3 linked regions of the Oryzias latipes genome follow. Each later gene encodes a partner of the first gene's protein in a complex. Links are inferred from orthologs where the notes say so. Each region holds a gene or a part of one and is shown in the gene's direction. Other genes may lie near its edges. The genes, in order: ndufab1, lyrm4 and fdx1l.

Evidence for each region.
Region 2: the proteins of ndufab1 (region 1) and lyrm4 are in contact, whole or in part, in a crystal structure (PDB 6ODD), measured with the Homo sapiens proteins. The link is inferred for Oryzias latipes from reciprocal best matches to the Homo sapiens genes NDUFAB1 and LYRM4. Residues at the interface, in NP_004994.1 of Homo sapiens: Lys92, Asp111, Ser112, Leu113, Asp114, Val116, Glu117, Met120, Glu123, Asp124, Glu129, Ile130, Asp132; in NP_065141.3 of Homo sapiens: Arg6, Leu10, Ser11, Tyr13, Arg14, Leu17, Arg18, Lys21, Arg37, Phe40, Arg41, Lys44.
Region 3: ndufab1 (region 1) and fdx1l share a complex: the UniProt entries of both Homo sapiens proteins name them as parts of the mitochondrial core iron-sulfur cluster (ISC) complex. The link is inferred for Oryzias latipes from reciprocal best matches to the Homo sapiens genes NDUFAB1 and FDX2.

Annotation. Positions count from the first base shown.
Region 1 is NC_019866.2:17,746,466-17,751,380, reverse strand, and holds ndufab1 (acyl carrier protein, mitochondrial), read left to right. Parts: upstream 1-1,744; 5' UTR 1,745-1,802; coding exon 1,803-1,973; intron 1,974-2,878; coding exon 2,879-2,995; intron 2,996-3,124; coding exon 3,125-3,212; intron 3,213-3,881; coding exon 3,882-3,973; 3' UTR 3,974-3,992; intron 3,993-4,069; 3' UTR 4,070-4,259; downstream 4,260-4,915. UniProt on the Homo sapiens protein: Carrier of the growing fatty acid chain in fatty acid biosynthesis.
Region 2 is NC_019878.2:3,839,205-3,843,165, reverse strand, and holds the start of lyrm4 (LYR motif-containing protein 4), read left to right. Parts: upstream 1-1,161; 5' UTR 1,162-1,201; coding exon 1,202-1,293; intron 1,294-3,961.
Region 3 is NC_019859.2:10,359,495-10,364,601, reverse strand, and holds the start of fdx1l (ferredoxin-2, mitochondrial), read left to right. Parts: upstream 1-1,895; 5' UTR 1,896-1,930; coding exon 1,931-2,117; intron 2,118-3,053; coding exon 3,054-3,102; intron 3,103-3,791; coding exon 3,792-3,898; intron 3,899-3,967; coding exon 3,968-4,055; intron 4,056-4,128; coding exon 4,129-4,285; 3' UTR 4,286-5,107. UniProt on the Homo sapiens protein: Electron donor, of the core iron-sulfur cluster (ISC) assembly complex, that acts to reduce the persulfide into sulfide during [2Fe-2S] clusters assembly on the scaffolding protein ISCU.

The DNA of each region.
Region 1 (4,915 bases):
GTAAATCGTTCAGCGGCACAAAAATAAATATTGCCATGGACTAATGACATGAGGGTTTATTTATCAGCAAATACATAAAATCTACACCAATGTGTTTGTAATCTTATTATTTATAAATCAGCCACGTTTTCCATGATCAGAAAACAGCAGATTCATAAAATGTTCATATTTATTATATTTTTACTTTGACAAATGGGTGTCATTCTCGGCGTCAAATAGAAGTAGTACCCCTCCAGACCAGGTGGTGGCGGTAATGCGCCACTTTGTTTTGGTGCCTAGCGCCATTCGAAAACACCCGAAAGAGGAAACTAGTGAGCACGGGTGTCCGAATTGCTAAAAAAATTCAGAGAACTATATAGAGAACTATATAGTGCCGCACTATATAGGGTTTTAGTAGTTAGGGGTTAGGGCGGTAATTCGGACACAGCCTCAATATTTTTTTACAACTCAAATTTACATATTTATCTAACTAAATGCCATATTACTTGAATTCAATTAAATGTTTTTCCATCTTAATTTATTGTACTTCTTGAACTTTCACATGTCTAAGTTTGAGCCTGCAGTTATTCTCATTTTTATAACAATAAAATGAAAGAAACACCAGTTTTTTGCTATATGTAACATGTTATTTATCATTTCTCTGACTTTAATTATACACCAATTAGAAGTAGGGCTGCTAAATAAACTCATCATCCTCTCCTTCCCTCTCACTCATGGTGCAGAAAGAATTAAACATAACAGGATAAATAACTAGGTAAAACACAGTAAAACAGCTAAACACATTTGATCAAAACCCCACACTTAAACCCAAATCCGTCCAGACAGGCAAAGGGAATGGTATCCTACAATTCCTTGCGGTGCCGATCTAGCAGCACCAAGTTCTTCTTCTTTTGGCTTTTTCCCATCAGGAGTCGCCACAGCAAAACAACCTGTCTTTTGAGGTTAACTTGGGAATGTTTTACGCTGGATGCCCCTCCTGACGTAACCCTTTCAATCAAACCGGGCTTGGGACCAGCATAGAAGCAGAGAAGGGAATAGGGAGCAGTCCGAATTCGAACTCTGGTTTCACAGACGGAAGGTGCTGCAAACCAGCACGAGCTAAGCTGTCTCCTAAGCTGCCCCAAAGTTACACCTACTTAACTGAATTAATTTGAATGAAAGTAAAATAACTGTCTGATAACTACGTGTTATTTTTAAGCCGACTTAACTTAAAAAAACGATTTATCTTAACTGAAGCAAATAATTAAGTTAGATCAATGTAAAAAAGTTTATCTTTCCAACACCCATAAATGGTCTTATCACCCTTTCATGGTGGAAAAAAAGTATTATCTGAGCTTTTTCATCCACTAAATCATCTTCAAATGGACATGCCATGCTGCTTCACCTCTCTGAAAACAAACTAACCTTGAACTAAACCTGCTCAGAACCAGTGCTTTGAACTTCAAGGTTAAACAGAAGTTCTGTGATTGACTGTTTTTGCCTGATGGTTTGTATGGTACTTGATACTTTCATTGTTACATATTTTGATTTTCAATACATTTTGAACAAATGTAGAAATTTATACACAACGTGAACTAAGCATGATTATATTGTTTTTTTTTTTTTAAAAAGCGTGCGTGTCAGTGTGTGTATGTACACCCACACACCCACACACACACACACACACAAACTTACGTATAAGCTTTTTTTTAGATATAGATAAAATACTTGTTATGTTATGCGCATGCGTACTGTGAAGCCATTGACTGCGTTCTTCTTCTACGCTTTGCACATTGCTCATCCTCTGCTGGATCCCTTTCGTCATGGCGGCTCGTGTCCTGCAGCAGTGTGTCCGCTCGTTCGCACGGCCCTCGTTGAGGCTTTGCACGCGTAATGTAGCAGTCAGAGCCACTGCCACTCCGGCAGTTTTCATCCACCGACCTCTGTCCTTCGCTGCAGAGAGCCCGAGGACGCGATTGTTTGGTCAGAGCCGGGTGAGTCCCTGCTACCATGAACAGTCGTGGCCTAGCACTTGGAGCTTGACCTACCGATGTCTTTCAAAACTCCACCACTGAAATGACCTTTAAATGCTGTTTTTCTAGATTTTATTTTCCACCCACTTGGACTTGTATCAGTTAGGTGAAATGACGACACCGGGCGAGGCCGTGTTTTACAGTAAACCGCAATGCGCGTCACTTTTTGCTGGATTGTTATATAGCATGATAGGCTAGCAGGTTAGCAAGTTCAATGACAGTCAACATTTGTGTTTGGTTTTTTAGCGTGTTTCCTGCAAAGACTTTAATTTGAATTTATTTTTCATCCCACCTTTGCATTGTATGATGATGGAGACATATTATGTGAAATGTATTGTAGCACTAGTGTCAAATGTATGCAACGCGCTGTGGAAACACGTTTGTTTTGCTTTTTCTGTTAGCTTAGTGAAAAAACTCCAGTATTTTTTTAACTTGAATCTAGTTCTACATCTGTTTATGATGTAATCTGTGAATGCATTGTCTGGAATTTGAAACGGCATTGAATTATTTACCAACAAATCATGATTGATCAAATCTAAATTTGTTTACCTTTAGTTAAACTTCTTTGTTTAACCAAAACTCTTGTCTTCTCCTCATTCAGTACTTTAGCTGGTGAAGAAAACCATTTTTTAATCAAACAAAATTATTAACATTTTATATCTAATAAAAAAATCTGTTATCTGTGAATTTTTTTTTGAACTCCTATCGCTTATTGAAACAAAATATTAGTTTATTACACTTTTAACTCACAAAAAAAACTAAAGAAAATCTCAGATTTAAGTTAATTTCTGACTTAACATGTCTTTGGTCATAACTTCTTGCTTTGGTCTTTTCTCTCTTACGTCCTGTTTTCCTTTCTCGTTCAGATCTCAGTGGGTGTGTTTTGCCGACAGTATGGTGACCTGCCCCCCCTCACCTTAGAAACCATCAAAGAACGTGTCATGTATGTACTGAAGCTCTATGACAAGATCAACCCAGAGAAGGTGGGCAGAAACGTACACATCTGCAGAATCTTTCCATTTATGTGCAGATAGGAAATTATGAAAGCTCTGTTATGGGACACTGTGAGAGACCTGTTTGTAAACTGAAATTATACTAAATCTGTGCCCCAGCTGCAGACCTCCTCCCACTTCATGAAAGACTTGGGATTGGACAGCTTGGACCAGGTGGAGATCATAATGGCAATGGAGGATGAATTTGGTGAGTTGACCTTTACTGCAGCAACTTCAGAAAATGCACGATAAATCTACATGGAAAATGAGAGGATTGATGTTTAAATCGGATTTTTGTTATTGAAAGACCTGGATGAAAAAAGATGATCCAGTTACCATTGAGATTCAGGGTACCGGTAACCATCATAAGTGCTGTGACTCACTCATATGCCATAAAAGCAGATTTTTTAAGTATATGTCAGTCTATTCCAACGCTCCTGTTGCAATCAAGGGAATTTTTTCTTATCTAGTTTTAACTCAGAACCAAACACAAAAAATCTTTTTTTGAACTGAACAACTGACATATGCAACTGGCTCAGACAGATCAGCCTTGCAACCTCCCTAATTTTCTGTCTTTTATGATTTCTTCCGCCATGGCAACAGAAGTGATTGACATATTCACTCTGAAATGTATCCGACTCATTTAATTCAAAACAAGTTCCCATTACAGTTTTGCGAAATGTCAATTTCTATATGCCTCAAAATCCACCTCAAAAACATTTTTCTTTTTTTGATATGTACATGTTTTTTCAAAATAGTTTCCATTAGGCAAATTTCGGATCACAAATCCAATTTCTCAATTTCATAGTCAATGGAAACGGCGCTATGTTTACACAATTACATTCATACTGACTCAGCGTTCTTGTCGGTCTTTCAGGCTTCGAGATCCCAGACGCCGAGGCAGAGAAGTTGATGACTCCAGAGGAGATTGTACAGTACATCGCAGACAAGAAAGACGTTTATGAATAATCTGCTTTACATCTCAAAGGCAGGTGTCCTCCCTGTCATTGTTCGATTGCACTCCGACAGAGTCTGATTAGATTTCTTTTCCCATTCCCTACACAGGAAGTACCGGTGGCGCTTTCCCACCTCTGCCCAACCATCAAAGTTTGAGTCACTTTGTGTGTATTTAAATGTTTTGGGGCCATCAGAGGAATTAAAGAAAAACCATGTTTTAGGTTTTTTTTCTTCATGCTCCCATGGTTCTGATGTATAATTTCATAATAGATCAATAAAAACAATTGGTGTCTCTGTACATTTATTCAGTTACAAGTTATTATAAAGTGCAAAAGCAGTTGACAAAAACTGAATTTTCAAAATTGCAAAACTGCAAATCTTGGGTATCTAAGAACTATTTTTTTTTCCAAAGATGTCACAGCAACAAGTAAATCTGTCCAATTCTGAGGCAACAGTTAGAGGAAGACTTCTGCTTCACTCTTGGAGCATAATCCTTAATGATTGAAAGATTGTCATATCTTTGAGTAGGAACACTCAGGGGATGATGGATTCATTACTTTTTTTGTAATGCCATTAGCTTATTTGATTCGATTAACCCTTGTGCTATCCTAGGCACTTTAACGTTGGGAGTTGGGTCATGTAGACCCGCTAAAAAGTGCGCTGAACCTTTTTTCTTTAATGATTTGTGGTCTTCACTGGTGTCATGAACTATTTCTACCTTTGTCATGGAAGGGAGAACACGTCAATGTAAGGGTGGGGTCATCTAAGCACAAGGGTAAGTTTTTTTTTCTGCTGCACCCATGTACCAACTTAAGCCAGATTTAAAAAGCACAATTCAAATTGTCCAAATGTTCTTCTAGTCTGACCATTTCAGAATGTTTTCATAATCTTTTTAAAGCGTTCCCAGTGGTCTTGTGATTATGCAATTTTTAGCTAAATCAAACACATCATAGT
Region 2 (3,961 bases), on another chromosome or scaffold:
CACAAATCCGACTGAGTCTAATTTCTCTCCATAGTCACACCCCTAGTGGCAAATGGTGGAAATACCCACCATTTAATACTTTTTTATTGGCTTAATTTTGGGGTTATAAATATCAAACTAATGAAAATGATGTTTCATCTCATTCATTATTAGTAATATTAAAGGGGACTTAGTGTGGAGTTTGCATGTTCTCCCTGTGTGTGCGTGTGTGGGTTTTCTCCGGGGACTCCAGCTTCCTCCAACAGTCCAAAAACCCAAAAACATGCTTCATAGGTACATTAGCTTCTCTAAAATGTCTCTAGGTGTGAATGTGAGTGTGCATGGTGTGTGATTTGTGGCCCTGGCAACCTGTCCAGGGTGTCCCCTGCCTTCGCCCACGAGTGGCCGGGAAAGGCTCTGGCAGCCATGTGACCCCAAAAGGGGCAAAACGGGTTTAGAAGATGAATGAATAAAGGTAACTTTATCGTACTTCATTCAAATTCAAACCAAAAAGGAGAAACCGAATGTAAATGATAATATCCCTGACTTATTAGCTGTGTTGTATTTATAAAACTACCAAACATAAACAAATGACCAAAGATTGACAGTCCTGATCAAGAGGGTCATACAGGGAGGGTCCAGAGCAGGACTCTGTGCGGTCACACACTTCCTGTTAAAGAATCCCTGACCTAAAAAAAGACCCACGTTCGCGCGTGCACACCCACACATAAACACACACCTGACAACAGCTGAAGCTGCCTGTTGTCAAGTATGATCTGCTGCAGAACCTCACAAATACAAAAGGAGCTTTTTAAACCCGACAAGCAACACATTTTCACAATTAATGATTCTTATTCCTGCACTATAATATCGAATTTTGTACCGACACCTTAGAAAAGGTCTTCTTATTATATAAGTAATATATTTTAGAGGTTAAAATTAGCAATGCTAACTCACCTTCTGTCACACTTCAGCTTTCAACTCTTGTGAGGTATGCGGAAGCGCGCCTGCATGACTCTTGGATTATGAACATGTTTCAAAAATAAATATGCATATTTATGCTGTGTGTTATTTAATAAATGACGTTCTTTTATCAAACTTATTATAATGTAACATACGAAAATAATGACAAACAGCCTAGACTTTGGATTTCTAAACTGGCGCTAGTTGGTCGCTCTTAAGTAAGGGTCCTTCATCGCAGGGACCGAACAGCGTCGGTAGCATGAACATGGCAGCGTCTGCTCGAGCCCAGGTGCTGTCTTTGTACAGAATGATGCTGAAAGAGAGCAGCAGGTTTCCTTCCTACAACTACAGGTAAGAGGCGGACTGAAGCCGGGTTCAGCGGGGCTCATGGCCGCTGTGCTCCGGCTGTCAAAGGAGGAAAGTGCCTGCTAACGCCTGTGTTTTGATCATTGATGAGCTGCTGCAGAGTTTACGAAACTCTCCTGACTGCTGCTGCACCAGTTCATGTGTTACAAAACTAACCTTATTCATTATTACATTTCTTCCCTTTGGAATATTATACAGGGTTATTATAATGAAAAAGCTTATTTTAAGGTGTTCCCTCATGATCACTTGAAGGCACGTTGGTAATAATAGCAATGGAGTTTGGTAATGCCATGCTATAGCAGAATATGATAAAGTACAATCAATGCCATTCATAATTTCATAAGAACTTTGTTTTTATTGACAAATTGTTGACTGGTTTTGTTTTCTTGGGACTCTTATTTTGAAAGTTTGTTGATCATAACGACTTTGAAAAGCCTTAATCTCAATTTTAATCATGCAGAAGCCTTTTTATTTAAAGGTTTTGAGTTTATGGAAACAGACCTGAACTCTGTTTTGCACGTTTTACTGATAATCTGAAGCTACTTTATTTCATCTTTTGAGTGCATTCTCTCTCCTCGAACATCACTTCAAAATAAGTCAGACTATGATTGAATTCATTTTCAAAATACTTTTCAAGCTCACATGACGGAGCTGATAATCTCTGATCTCCTGCTGTCTCCTTTCATGGTGGCTATTTTGCTGTCATTCATCTTCTGCCCCCCCTTTGACTGTTGTTAAACATGTTCCTTAAGAGGAGCTCAGACCCCCACAGGTCATCCTCCTCGTGTTGGATGAGTGATTGACAGATGGAAAGTCTTCATGTGAAACTCATGATGTGGGATACGTACATAAAAGCTATTAGTCATCTATTCTGTCTGGGACTCTTATGGACTATATTTCTGTTTTATTATTTTGGAATCCCATATCTGTTGTTTGAAGGTGCTGTAGTCCTTCATGACCTCCTGTTTACACTTGTGATGGTAATTTGCCACTCGAGCTACGTTCACACCACCTCAGCAGCACACTTTCAAAATTCTCTCATTCACTTGTTGCTACGAAAGTTTCTACAACCGTTGTTGGGCTCTATGTACAAAATGCGCACCCGCTGAATGTGTTTTTAAAGTTAACTCTAACCTTAACCAGGTCAAACTTTGACCAATTAGGGACTCCGATTTTGTAGTCGCCCTTGTTGTGGCTGGCTGAGTGCTTTGAGCTTGCATTACTTTTCCTCGCTCCTGGTCACCTCTTCAATCACACCAGCTCTTTCCTCTCCCTTCTTGTGGCTTTGGACCAGAACTTGGGGGCTGTTCCCCAGCCTAAGCCGGCTCTTCCTGACCACATCCTTCCCACGGCTTCGTTGTGTTTAAGCTTGCTGATGGCCTGGTCAACGGCCTCTTCGGCCTTCCATTAGGGCTGGGCGATATGATTTTTTTATTCGATTTCCACCCCCCCATACATACACACACTTAAGGGAAGCAATAAGTACAAACTGCAGACAACTTAAAGCAAATTTTGCTTTTATTTAATCAAAAGCAAGACAAATGTAACCCCCATTTCTGGTATGAATAATAAATAAATGAACACACTCTTGGAATCAAAGTATAAGATTTTTCTTCTTCTCTCTCCCTTTTGCACTTGTGTTGTTTTATATAATTTTCTTGTTTTATATAAATTTTGTCTTCTCTTGTTATTCTACACTTGTTTTCACTTGTCCAAAATAAAAAGGTTATTTAATTTAAAGTCCCAGCTGTGTTTTAAGTCACACTTTGTAGTTTAGACTAAAAGGAGACAAACATTCACCTCAACAGTAGCACCATTATCTAAAGGATTAACAATGCAGCTCATATCTGGGGTCTAAGGTTTTAATTCAATTAAGAAACCCCGTCTTCGCAGCAGGACTCGCGGTCAATACCCCCCCCCCCCCCCCCCCCCCCCCGCAGCGTTGCAATTGAATACCGGTACAAGTAATAATTACAACGCAGTATTCTTCATTAACAAATAACAGTAACAAATAACTAACTAATGAACTAACTATATAGGTGTTGTAGAATGAGTATGTGTGTGTCAGGGCTCCAGACTAACTTTTGTATCTAATCTATCTATGACTGGGAGAAACAACAATATACAGCTTTTGTAGATTTTTTCCCCTACTGGACTGATTAAGTACCCGATGCGGTGATTTTTCAAAATAAAACATTTCTCAAAATCAAAGATAGTTCAGACTATTAATAAAAGGAGTACAGCATTGAATATTTCTTCAGCGAACCGGCCTTCTTCCATTCATTTTCTTAACCCGCTATAACCTATGTATAACCTCTTCCATCCTTGTGCTGCGCTTGCGCCAAAGCGCCCCGACTACTACCGTGTCAACCTGCTGCTATGATGACCGTATTTAGCGCTCTCTGTGTTGGACACAGGAGGAGCGCGGGGGAAAACAACTCTGAGCTACAGAGGATGTGAACAGGTAGAGAGGAAAAGCAGGTAGAGAGGCGGGGGAGGGGCTATTGGCTGCAGTTGGCTTTAAACTGTCAGAGAGATGGAAATACGGGCGTCAGATTCAGACGCAGCTTTCCCTGCGGGAGTTGAAGCAGAGACTTTCTCTGGGATGATTTTATGAACTCAAACTTGGAAACATGATTACCAAGTAGAACTC
Region 3 (5,107 bases), on another chromosome or scaffold:
CACTTTGCAATAAAAAAAAGGAAAAACCCCACACATTTTGGCACGACATTCTGCTCCAAAATGACCCCATGTTTGGCAGCAGCTCATTTTTAACACAAATTGTCTTCATATTCCAGAAGGAGGAAGAGAAGGAATCTTTGTCATGACTCTAGCCATAACACCCGTCTGTTTATCTGTATACTCTGGTCACATGTTCAAAAGATTCTTTATCAAAATGAATCTTCCTCTGCTACACCAAAAAAAAAGTATAATAGGGGCTCAGGCTCACGTCTCTAGAGCATGGAGCTCTGGAGACATACTGTATTTAGCACCAGCCAGCTGCTATGAAGACATATATGATCATCAGTACAGTGTGGATTAATATTAAGCAGGAGTCAATCTGAATGAAAGATCAATCAATCCCCGTTGTTAAGAAAGAAAAACAGGTGGATGAAATGTGGGTTCAAACAAGCGCTCTTAACCAGTGGCATAAACAGGTTTAGACAAGTCAAAGCTGCAACCTGGATCAAACACTTATGTAACGTACACAGTGTGTTTGGCAAACGTGTTTCATTTTTAATATCAGTGTGTGTAAATGAACAAAATTGGCTTATCTGGAGTTTGTCATGTAAAATTACCTTAAAATACATTTAGAAACATTTGTTTCTTTAACTCACTTTGAGTGTTTTTACCTAATCTGGTTTATTTGTTCTTTTGTTTTTGTAGTTCATCTAATTTAACCTTAACTATGGTTTCAGTGACAGTGAGGAGAACAGAACCACTGTTTTGTTAAAACAATCGGAACCATCTTAAGCTAAACATTTGGAAAACTTTTGTATAAGACCACTTTAAACCATTGAAAATGATTGGTTCTTTGTAAATGAATAAATACAAATATAAGGAAGGCCTAGGACTTTTATACAATAATTTAAGCTTTTAAGCCATTATGTATTAACCATTTTAATGTGTAATGTGTAGCAATAATCAATGGTTTAGTGTGATAATGTGTTCTAATGATGATCAATGATTATTGGTTGCCCAAAGTGTGAATCATTAATGTTAATGATGTAAGAATTCTTTCTGAGGATAATCAATATGTAGTCGATTTTGTGACTTGATAACTTGATCTACAATGTGTAGCAATGATATCTGGATGAATATGAAATTGTATTCTGATTATAATCAATGAGTATTACATAACTGTGACATAGTGTGTGATTCATGTTACCGTTTACTGACATCATGTTTTCTGAAGATCATCAATCATTAATAATCACCTGATTTTTTTATTTGAAAAGAATCTATCTGATCAGAAGCGGATTACAAAATTCATGCAAAGTTAAAAAAATGAATTAACTCAGTAGGGGTGGGATTATAGAGGCACGCTTGTTCCCACTCCTTTTCAAGCAATAAATCAAGCTCTTCTTGACTTTAGTTAATGATCACTGTATTGGATTAAGCAAATGTGACTTAAGTGGGTCTTTGTTTTTGTCCTTTTTTGTAATGTATGCATTTCATCATCATACTTAATTATTTCTGTAATAACTTATATAAATCTGTGTGTTTTGTTTGTATTGACTACAATTAATGCTTGAAATAAATCAAATCAAACTCACATTTAATCACTGTGCATTGTTAGTTAACTTGATATGTAAAGTGTGCAAATTATTATTTCTGTATACCTTAATTAAGTGTTGATTTTTTTAAACCATTTTGATGCCTTAATTTAAAAAATATATATGACTTTATTTTGATGAATTGATAAGAAAACAATGTATAAATTGATCCGAATCGATATCCGAGTTTTTGGGTTTGTTATGAAAATTAATTCAGATAAAAGTCAAACACAAGCGCCCCCTGCTGTCAGAAAAGCAAATCACAGAAGAAATGTCAACGTTTTTGTCACTATTTTCCTATTGGCTACTATCAGTCATGTGACCAAAACACAGCGATGGCGGCGTCCGCTGCAGTTCGGACGAGCATGGGGCTGACTTTGAGGTTGTCTCGAGTTATTCCAGATTGTAGCACGTGCCCATTTTACAGATTAAAGAGCTGTGGGAACAGCAGCGCCAGTTTACAAAGGAGGGGCTCTTTTGACAGTTTCCGGACCACAAACCGACATTTACAGACGACCATAGGTGAGTGTGGTGCAGCTTGCTAACGGTTAGCTTCAGTCAGAAACTCCCTGCGTTTACTACTTATAATTTAAAATTAGTAATTTAACATAAATAAATAAAAAGTGATTCAGAATGCTGGCTATTATTGGTGTCCACTTGTTTGGTTTGGTTTTATAGTGCTATAACTATAGCAGAAAAAACATCTTCGTGCCAGTTGTGTAATTTTGCCATCATGCCATCATCTCCTTGAAACTCCATTATGTCAGAGGTCAAATGTTCCCGTAGGTGTGTTATGTGAATCAAAATCACCTGTCACGGGGTTTAGACGAAATCTAAAGGCAGTTCATAATTAATTTAAACCAGAGATACCTTCCTTAGTCTAATAATTATTGATGGATGTGCACAATAGGGTAATACTTATACAAGTGCATGAATAATAATGTGCCATTTCTATACCATGTAGCATTCTAATTCTTTATTTGGTTTGATTTTACAATGTTTACATACCTACATGGTTGTGGACCCACTATGTTTAACAATTTCACTTGTGAAAACTTTTTAAATTTTTTTTTTACTCCATTGTACATTTTTGTATCAGGGAGATCCAGAGTTAGACTAATATTTTGTGTTCAAAAACTTCTGAAAAATCAATCACTCAAATTTTTTTCAATACCAGCTAGCACATTTTGGTGGAAAAAACCTTCTATAACTTATAGAATTTCCATTTTATAGAGTAAAGACTCTGATGGGTCATCATGACAAGCAAAATCTAAAGTGACACCTTTTTATTTTTTCCTGATCGGTTTCTTAATCTTGGAGATACATGGATGCATGTTTTAAAGGATTTCCGAGGTGCACCCCTCCTCCTTTTTGTGTGTAGAAGGTGCTGTACATCATATAACGTAAAAGTGCTGTTTTCTGAATCTAGCCTCTAACATTTTTGTTGGTATTTTAAAGGTCTTTGTAGGGAAGAGGACAGCTCTACTGCAGAGGACCCAGAGGAAGTGTAAGTGTGATTATTATTTTTTTTATGTGGGTGAGATTATTAAAGTCACTTTGATCATATTTAATCCAGTTTCAAATCGTTCTCAGCTTTCTTTACCTTATGATTATGCTGTTTTTAGCCAAAAATGAAAACGCCTGTGTCGTTTTCTAGGACATAGTTTCTGCAGGGTGGCAGTAGTTGATTAGAAACTCACATCTGAGTTGTTGCAATTTGAAGCTTCACTTTCTTTAAATGCATGTCCTCCATCATGAGAAAAAATGCCAAAAAGAGATGCTAAAAAACACCACTTAAAAAAAAAATCTGTGTTTTTTTTTAATGACAAAGCACTGACTCGGACTAGACCTGCAGTGAGGACTTGATTCAAATGGGACATTTATGACAGAAAAAAAAAAAACAAGACAATGGTAAAATCTTTAAACCTTCTGATTTTTTTCGGGGGACAGATAACCTTTTTTGTTCCATGAAAGGAATGTTACATCATGGAATGATTTATCCCAAATACCTGTAATCAGAAACTTAAATTGTCCACCGAGAAGTACACTTTTGTCTTTTATGACTATGCTATTTTGCCCAAAGCAGGTTAAGTATGTTTTACTTATTTTGGATGATTGTTACTTATTTATTTTTTAAAAAGGGACTCTTGTTTCCAAGATCTAAATGTTTTTAAATGTCTTCTTGTGTGCATTCAGAGTCAACGTGGTGTACATAGACCGGTCTGGCCGGAGGATTCCGGTGAAGGCCAAAGTTGGAGATAATGTTCTTTATTTGGCTCACAAACACGGAATTCATCTGGAAGGTAGGAGTCGATCAAGCCGATGAATCCACGCTCTTCAAATTGTTCCCTAACCTTTGGTGTTGTGTTTAGGAGCTTGTGAGGCATCCCTGGCCTGTTCGACATGCCATGTTTATGTGAGCGACGCCCATTTTGACAAACTGCCGGAGCCTGAAGAGAGGTCTGTCGGCTGCACCGCACAGAGTAAAAATTGCGATTTGAAATAAAAGTTGACTGGGAATTTGGTTTTTTAGGGAGGATGACATGCTCGACATGGCGCCCATGCTTCAAGAGACCTCCCGGCTGGGGTGTCAGATCGTTCTCACTCCAGAACTCGATGGCATTGAGCTGACCCTTCCCAAAATCACCAGGAACTTCTATGTGGACGGTCACGTTCCAAAGCCTCACTGAATCAAGGGACCCAACATGGAAACTGAGGATTCTGAGGCTAAAATGCAGGGGTTGCTGTGAGAAAGACCGATGGACGACCGCGTTTGAGAGCCACTGAAAAAGGCAGAAGGAAGAAAGTATGGTCCATAGCTTCTCTCAACACGATTCGCCAACTGACAAGATTCTGCAGTTTTAATGTCAGGATAGTTGGACACTACGTATCTTCTGAGGTGACATAAATGGTTATATGCAAAAAAAAGAGAAGTGATGAACTGATAAAGCATCTGTTTGTATCTCAGGCCATCTTACAGACATCCTCTGAGACTGGTCACTGTTGAAACCACGCACACTGCCGAGCATATCCAGTCTCCGCACTGCAGGATGGAGCATTCCTTGTTACAGCTTCTATACGCACAAATGTTGCAGGATGTCGACCGGTTCATTTGTGTCCTGGTCCACTCGTTGTAGCAATCTCCTCATGTGTTACATTCATTTAAAAGCAGCGTTTTAACAAAGTACCCTCACATCACCGCTGGTTTCCTGCTGTTGGCTTTTTAAGCCAGACAAAAGAAGCCATAAAGACGCATATTCCATTCATTAAAGCGGAATCTCCACAATCCAGAATTTACAAAGTAGAAACTTCTAACATTTCAAAACGACGACAGTACTGTGTGGGCTGGGGATGAGATTTTTCTTTCCTTTCAGCTGAAGGTGATTAAGATTTTGAGTAAACCAGTTTCAGGTGTTTGGATCCAAAGCAGGAAGCTGGTAGGCTTCACTTTACCACTTTACTCTCCTGCAGACGGTACCGCAGTCGTTTTGTGCAAAAATCAAGATGTGTCT